Rattus norvegicus: one gene and its partner. The protein of the gene in region 1 purifies or fractionates together with the protein of each later gene. This does not show direct contact. Links are inferred from orthologs where the notes say so. Each region holds a gene or a part of one and is shown on either strand. Other genes may lie near its edges.

Region 1 (3,805 bases):
GAGTTAATAAACTTCGCCAGATTCTAACAATAAATATCTACCCAGCCAGTATTATAGCTCACACCTTTAATTTCAGCACTCAAGAGGCAGAAGCAGGTAGATTTCTATGACTTCATGGTCCAACCAGTCTGGACAACTAAATCCATGTTATCTGGAGTTGGGTAGGTAGACCTTGTCTGGAATTAACTAATTATTCAGCCCTGCCAGGGCTGATGTCTAGACAGTGAGGATGGTCTAGGGTTTGACACACCACTGAAAGCTTTTCTGTATTGTGATCTCTCACAAAACAAGGCAATGGGGGCTGGAGAGGTGGCTCAGCAGGTAAGAGCACCAGCTGCTCTTCCAGAGGTCCTGAGTTCAATTCCCAGCAACCACATGGTGGCTCACAACCATCTGTAATGAGATCTGATGCCCTCTTCTGGTGTGTCTGAAGACAGCTACAGTGTACTTATATATAATAAATGGGGTTGGGGATTTAGCTCAGTGGTAGAGCACTTGCCTAGCAAGCACAAGGACCTGGGTTCGGTCCCCAGCTCCGAAAGAAAAAAGAAAACCAAAAAAAAAAAAAAAAAAAGAATAAATATTAAAAGTAAAAATAAAAAACCCAAGGCACTGCCTGCTCTCGGCTAATAGAATCGCCTTCTGTGTACGGCAGAAGTAGGAGTATACACAGCACTGCAGACTTTGAACTAAAATTCTCTCATGAGATTGGCTAGAGTGAAACAACATGTCTGCAGGCCTGTGGTGGTTCTGTGTGGTGAATGTGTCTGTGACAGGATCAACCTATTTTCCTAATCAAGAAGCAGAAACTCGTTTTGAAAACCTTTAAGGTACAAGGTAGAACGTGGGCTGAGATATGGCTCCGTTTGCAGAGTGCTTGCCCAGCATGCACAGGGTTCTGAGTTCCATCCAGCGCCATCCATCAGGGAATAGGTGAGTTCAGGCCTAGCCTGGGCTACATGAGACCTTGTCTCAAAGAAGAAAAAGAAAACAGTGAAATTGTATGAGGTGCAGAGTGCTTGCACAGCATGTGCCTGCCCTGGACTTGAACCCGCACCATGTGTTGTGGTGACAGGAGCAGTTCTGTAATCTGAAAGCTGGATCCGTGTACATGCCGATGGCAGAGATGCAGCTCATGCTCGGATGCTCTTTGTGGTGTCAGGGAGCAGCCTCACATTATTGAGATTCCATGTTTTTGTTTTTGTTTTAAACAACAACTAAAATTTTGGAAACTGTACAGAAATTAAATTTGCTTTTGTGAAATTTTCAAATGGCCACATGTGATTCTAGGAAGCTGGATTATGGCTGCTGTGCTGTTGGTGCCCTTGCTTGGTCAACAAGTAAAGTTCTAAACCAAAGAAGAAACAACTCTGTGTTCTGTCGTCTAAACTACTAACAGGCCTTGATGGTACAGGAGATAAAATGTGTTGTTGAAGGAAGCACGAAGTCCACTGTGGATAGCCTGTCCCGGGAAGGAGGAAACTTTTTACTTGATTAGAGCAAGAAATCTGTGCCTTGAGCATATGCAATGAAGAACAGAACTAGCCTGAGGGTAGCAGAGAAGTTTGTGGTCACTCTTATTAATAGGAGCTTTTGTTTCCCTTTGTCCCTTAGCATGGGAGAGACCAACACGGAAAGAAAGACCAAGAAGAAGAGGAGGTAGGTAGCTTTAGGTGACACTACCTGGGGGAGGAAGGTTGGCCTGAAGTCTTTGTCTGCAATTCTTTTTTTTTTTTTTTTAAGATTTATTTATTTTGGGCTGGAGAGATGGCTCAGTGGTTAAGAGCACTGACTGCTCTTCCAGAGGTCCTGAGTTCAATCTCCAACAACCACATGGTGGCCCACAACCATCTGTAATGAGATCTGATGCCCTCTTCTGGTGTCTCTGAAGACAATAACAGTGTAATCACATAAATGAAATAAATCTTTAAAAAAAAATAAGATTTATTTATTTTATATATGCGAGAACATTGCCACTGTCTTCAGACACACCAGAAAGAGGGCATCGGATCCCATTACAGATACTTGTGTGAGCCACCATGTGGTTGCTGGGAATCGACCTCTGGACGAGCAGTCAATGCTCTTAACTGCTGAGCTATCTCTCCAGTCCCTGTTTGCAATTCTTGGTTGTGATTGTATTTTCTAATCTTTTCCTGTTACGTGGAATTTACTGGCTCCATTTTTCCTTTTCCTATAACATTCTAAAATCCTTACACCTGACAATAATACTGCTGCCTGGTCTTGACCTAATAAATCTTACAAGATTTTGCTAAAGGGAACTGGAAAAATGACCCAGTTGGTAAAGTGTTTGCCATGCACATAAGCCAATAGATAGGTGCAGCAGCAGGGGTTGGTGCAGCCGCGGCGCTGGGGAGGTAGTGATGGGTGGGTCCCAGTGAATCACTGAGCACCCTGCCCAGCTGAGTCAGGGAGCTCCAGGTTCCATGACAGTGACTCTAAAGTGTAGAGCAATCGAGGAGAACTCAGAGATCTGCCTGGCATGTTTGGGTTCTTTTATTGTTCGGTTTTGCTTTTGTTTTGTTTTTTTAGAGAGAGAGAGAGAGTGTGTGTGTGTGTGTGTGTGTGTGTGTGTGTGTGTGTGTGTGTGTAGGGGTGCCTCTAGATCCCAGAAGTGGACATTGGATTCCTTATAGCTGAAATTTCTGGTATTTTTGAGCTGCCAGGTATGGGTGCTGAGGTCCAAATTCCATGACAGGCCTCTGACAGAATAGTAAGGCCTCTGAGTGCTGAGCCTTCCCTTTGGCCCTTGTTTTATTTTCTGGACACTAGATCTCACTTTGTAGCCCAGGCAGGCCTCAAACTCATGGTGACCCTCATACTTAAGCTTCTTGAGTGCTAGGGTTACAGCCACCATGCCCTGCTTGTGTTTCTTGTGTGTGTGTGTGTGTCTGTGTGTCTGTGTGTCTGTGTGTCTGTGTCTGTGTGTCTGTGTGTGTGTGTGTGTTGGTTGGTTGGTTGGGGGGGGTGACGGGGGTGTGTGTGTGTGTGACAGACTTGCCTTGACCTTACTGTGTTGCTGTGGGTGACCTTGAACTTCTGACCTTCTTGCCTTACCTCCTGGGATGGAAGGCTTGTGCCAGCATGCTCAGTGTATGGGGGGCACACCTTATGGACTCCTAGAGAGCTTGCAAAGTGTTTCAGCAGTTAGGCGATCCCCAGACATCTGGCTAGGGCTAGCTGCAGGAGCTCAGCACGAGCGTTTCTAAGCACTGAGTTAAATGTCCATTTCCCATGTGTGCTCTTTGTGTAACATTATAGGCCTAAGAGTGTCACGAGTACCTCTAGCAGTGACAGTTCAGCCAGTGAGTCTTCATCAGAGAGCGAGACATCTGCCTCGTCCTCTTCAGAGGACAGCGACGCAGATGGAAGCCTCTCCAGCTCCTCCTCCTCCTCAGCCTATTCCTCCTCCTCGTCCTCCTCCTCCTCCTCGTCCTCCTCGTCCTCAGACTCAGACTCCAGCTCCTCCAGCAGCAGCAGCAGCAGTTCCGAGAGCAGCTCTGACGACGAGCCACCAAAGAAGAGGAAAAAGAAATAGAGCTCTCTCTTCTCTGGACCAATGGACAGAAAGCATTTGTGACTCCCAGGGGAACTGAAGACGTGCTCAAGCAAGCAAGTTAGCTGGTCAGACTTGTTAAAGTCCAGAACTTTCTAAGTATTCACCATTGTGTAGGATATTAAATAAAGATGTTATATATATAAAGATGTTTATTTTAGGAATGACTATTGGGTTTTTGCTGTTGCTTTTCTTTTTGTAAAGACTGGGTCTCATTTTGTAGGCGTGGCT
Region 2 (4,505 bases), about 17 Mb from region 1:
AAAATGGAGCTGCTGTTTTTTAGGATGCTCCGAGGCCGTTCCGTGAAAGATGACCCGGAGTGTGTACTACTCTCCGAGCTGTACACTTTAGGCTCCTCCGGCCCAGGGGTGGATGCCTTAGTTGCACCAGTTCCAGTGGCAGGGGATGTGCTGGACCCAAGGCTTGCAACCTCCCGGAGATACGGACCGGGTCCCGAATTGAGGGTCACTGCTCCTTCAGAGGGCTGGGTTGGACCAGGACTGCGGACAGAGTTCCCGGAATGCAGGAGGGAGCCAGGACCGCGAAACGAGCCTACTCCGGAGGGTAGTCCGGTGTCTGTTTGTATACCTCTGACACCTCCAGGTACTGCCCTAGGAACCCCGCCAGGGGATTCCGTACTGAGACCACTAACAGGTGCCAGAGACTCCGGCTTCTCCATAGCTCAACTTGGTAATCACTTCAATTACTCAGCCTCGCCTTCTACACATAGCCCCTCCCGTTGGCCCTGCCCCCACCGCGGTGGGCGGTGGGCGCTGGGGGCTCCGGGTCAGACCGGACCTCCTCGCCTCCTCTCCCTGGCGCTGGTGCAGGTGAAAGCCGGACTATATAGACCTGAGCCTGGGGGCTCCTCCGCACACCCTTCTCTAATTGTTACACCCAAAGACTTTCTTTGTCTCTGTAATTTGTTCCCGCCCTTCCCCATCACTGCCCTTCTCCGAATCAACCAATCACAGTCAAGGGGCCTGGCCAGAGGCGAGGAGCCTTGTGACGTCACAGCCCCACAACACCAGCGAGAGCCTCTGAGTAGGGTTGGGTTCTGCTTATAGCTCTCAGGTAATCTCCTGGATCTCTCAGTTCTGTGCCTTGAGATTACCTATCGGGACATCTCTAGGATTTTTATTAGTAATTTTAAGATTCAAGAGTTTCATTGACTCGGAGCTCAAATTGGTCTTGAACTACGTGCGGGTTCCCCCACCAGTCACCTCATTATACTTCATAGGAGAGGTGTGATGAAAAGTGTGTGGAGCAGGGGGACTGCGACGAGAGGAGTAGGATTGGAACAAGGAGAGGTTGGATTGGATTGCGACATTTCCGGTCTCGGTATTGTGAAGGGCTGAGACTTGGATTTATAAAACTACCTTTTCTCTGTCCCGAAGATAGTGTTTACGTCGCCTTAAAGCGTGTAGTGTGAGGGGGAGCTACCACCCTTTGTGTTAAAGCTAATGTTTTAATGGGTCGCTTTTCCCAACAAGGGTTGGGTCCTCGGCGCGGGGCGAAGTCGTAAAGTGTATCTGGGCGCCAGCACGCCTTCGTCGCAAATACGCCTGCGGCGGGCGTTTCTTCCATTCACTGTCGCAAAAGCAGCCCCAGTCTTCTAGATTCTCTTAGCCGCTGTCGTCCCGCTGTGCCGTAAAGCAAGTCTCCCCGACCCCGTCGTCCTTCGGTTCCCCTCGTGATAGACCTTGGTTCCTTAGCTCTGGATGCTTCAGTGCCGTAAAGCATATCAGGCCCCAGCCCCCGGCCGTATTCCCCCAGGGCGTCTATCCGCCGCGGTTGCCACGGTGCCGCCAAGCGCGGCTGTCGCGCGGCCGCGGTATCAGCGGCGATGGCGGCGGGGTCGGGTGGGAGTGGGGGCTCTGGGGCAGGCCCCGGGCCAGGGCCGGGGCCAGGCGGGGGAGGGGGCCCTGGCAGCAGCGGACCAGGACTGGGGTCCAGCGGGGGTCTCGGCAGTGGCGGGGAACTGCACCCGCGCACTGGGCGCTTGGTAAGCCTGTCGGCCTGTGGGCGCACAGCGCGGCGGCAGCAGCCGGGCCAAGAGTTTAACCACGGGCTGGTGCTGAGCCGAGAACCCTTGCGCGACGGACGCGTCTTCACTGTCCGCATCGACCGCAAGGTGCAAAGCTGGGGCCGCGGAAACGAGGTGTGGAGGGCGGTGGGAGTGGACGAAAGGGAGAAGAGGTAGAACTACCAGAAAGTCTGCATCTCCAACCAAGTCTCCAGGTACCGATGGCAAGCCCTAGAAGAGAAAGGAAAAGAGCGTGGAGCAGAGACATTCATTCTGAAGGAGAATGAGTTTCCTCAGGACCCAGAAGCAGGACAGGGATACAGGGCTCAGTTATTAGGATGGCTAGTGAACAGTTCTAGCACAATCACTTAGGGATGAAAGATAGACAGGTGCCCAAGATGTAATGGGCGAGTAGAGAAATAGTAAAAATCACAAACTGTTGACAAACAAACGACGCCCAAAGCCAGAAAGATAGATGGAGACATGGGAAAAAAGAAATTGTGTGTGACTTGCTTGACTCCAAAACGAATTTGGAAAGAGAAGAGAATGAATCTGGGTGTTAGAGGATCAGGGGTGGGAATGAGAGTAAGGTAGGAGAGCGATCTATATGAACCTAAGAAGCATGTGATTGGAGTGGTAGAGGAGACACACGGACTGGGGAATGAGAGGAAGTCAGGTTAAAACCAGGGCATTTAACCAGCTTGCAGTGGGTAAAGGGTGATGTGGTGAAACACTTGGCAGCAGAACAGCACACAGATGCTGAGAGCCGGTGGGTCTGGATAGTTATGGAGGCTATGTCCAAAAAGTTATTTGTGTGTCTATGTCAATGACCTCAGAGGTCAGGGTGAGAGGGGTGCAGTGCCCTGGAATGTGGCTTCTGGTGATGGGATTCCATCCTGACACTCTGTCCACCCCCCTCTCATAGGTCAACTCCTGGAGTGGCTCCATCGAAATCGGAGTGACAGCACTGGATCCTAGTGTGCTGGACTTCCCAAGCAGTGCCACTGGGCTGAAGGGAGGGTCCTGGGTAGTGTCAGGCTGCTCAGTGCTTCGGGACGGGCGCTCTGTGTTGGAGGAATATGGCCAGGACCTGGACCAGCTTGTGGAAGGGGACCGTGTGGGTGTGGAACGCACAGCCACTGGGGAGCTCCGGCTCTGGGTGAATGGGCGGGATTGTGGTGTGGCAGCCACAGGCCTGCCTGCTCGAGTCTGGGCTGTCGTGGACCTTTATGGCAAGTGCACCCAGATCACTGTGCTGCCCCCTGAGCCAGGCTTCAGCCCTTCTACTCCTATCTCCACACCTCCCCTTGAGCCCTTGGCCCCTCCAGAAGATTCTGCCCTGTCGGAACAGGGGACTTCTGTGGATGAAGGTGAGAACACAGCTTCGGGGAAGCATGAGGTTTGACTGAAGAAATGGGGCAAAAGCAGCCACAAGTCAGCTGGGGGAGGGGAGGGGACGTTGAGCCCAGAGCCTACTGCAGGCAAATATAGAGGGTTAGAAGAGATGGTCTCCTGACTGGGCCCTGAAACATGGGCTGAACCCTTATTCCCCTCCCATCTACCTGGTCCCTAGCCTTCATGGTGTCCCCAGCGCAGGCCCGGCCGGAGACGTTTCCTAACAGCCTTGATTCGCATAATGGTGAGGGCTTCGGGGAAGCCCAGGGAAGGGGATGGGTAGTGAGGTGGACAAGGGTGGGATTTAAGAGGCCGGTAGGGAGAAGATGGTTCCAAGCTAGTTTGGGGGACAGAGCTTCATCTTGACTTCTTCTTCTTGCTGCTGTAGACTTTGCCAGCATGGAACTGTCTGAGGTGGTGAGCAACGCCATCCTGTCTGCCTACAATGGGGGCCTTCTTAATGTGAGCCTGAGCTCCCCACCAGCTGCAGACGGACTGGCATCCAGTGGGTCAGCCACCTCTCCCATCCTCACTTCCAATGATGCCCTGCTCTTTCATGAGAAGTGTGGAACCCTCATCAAACTCAGCAACAATAATAAGACGGCTGAGCGTCGGAGGCCCCTGGATGAATTCAACAATGGAGTTGTCATGACCAACCGTCCACTTCGGGATAATGAAATGTTTGAGGTATATAAAGTCCTGGAGTCTGGCCGAGCTTCCTGCCAAAGATTTGGAGCTAAATGTTGGGGATGATCCTTGATGGCAAAATGACTGACTGGTGAAGAACTAAGGGTTTGAGCATCCGTCTTCTGTTGTTATATTTCCTGGTCCTGTCTGCTCTCACCCAACCCCAGATCCGTATTGACAAGCTTGTAGACAAATGGTCTGGTTCCATCGAGATTGGTGTCACCACCCACAATCCCAACAGCTTGGAGTATCCAGCCACCATGACCAACCTGCAGTCAGGTACCGGCTATGTGGTAGGGTAGGGACAGAAGCTTTGAGTTGATAAGGTCGGGACGGCCTTTCCCTAACTGGGTACTCATCTTTACCAGGCACCATCATGATGAGTGGCTGTGGGATCCTGACCAACGGCAAGGGTACGCGCCGCGAGTACTGTGAGTTCAGTCTGGATGAGCTGCAGGTGAGTGTGGAGCATAGGAGCTTGGGCCAATCCAGGGAAGCCAGGGTGCCAGCAGTGCTCCTGTAAACAAGAACAAGTCTCTTTCTGCACGAGGCTTTTTTTTTTTTTTTTTTTTTTTTTTTTTTTTGTTCTTTTTTTTCGGAGCTGGGGACCGAACCCAGGGCCTTGCGCTTCCTAGGTAAGCGCTCTACCACTGAGCT

What was found.
Region 2: the proteins of Zcchc10 (region 1) and Neurl4 purify together in Homo sapiens (co-immunoprecipitation; 3 studies listed by BioGRID and IntAct, with this or other methods). This does not show direct contact. The link is inferred for Rattus norvegicus from reciprocal best matches to the Homo sapiens genes ZCCHC10 and NEURL4.

What each region holds. Positions count from the first base shown.
Region 1 is NC_086028.1:37,977,655-37,981,459, forward strand, and holds part of Zcchc10 (zinc finger CCHC domain-containing protein 10), read left to right. Parts: intron 1-1,614; coding exon 1,615-1,659; intron 1,660-3,279; coding exon 3,280-3,556; 3' UTR 3,557-3,805.
Region 2 is NC_086028.1:55,122,774-55,127,278, forward strand, and holds the start of Neurl4 (neuralized-like protein 4), read left to right. Parts: upstream 1-1,550; 5' UTR 1,551-1,586; coding exon 1,587-1,874; intron 1,875-2,691; coding exon 2,692-3,136; intron 3,137-3,339; coding exon 3,340-3,405; intron 3,406-3,549; coding exon 3,550-3,848; intron 3,849-4,015; coding exon 4,016-4,127; intron 4,128-4,216; coding exon 4,217-4,305; intron 4,306-4,505. Other genes in the region: Ppp1r2l1 (protein phosphatase inhibitor 2-like), read right to left, coding at 1-419. UniProt on the Homo sapiens protein: Promotes CCP110 ubiquitination and proteasome-dependent degradation. By counteracting accumulation of CP110, maintains normal centriolar homeostasis and preventing formation of ectopic microtubular organizing centers.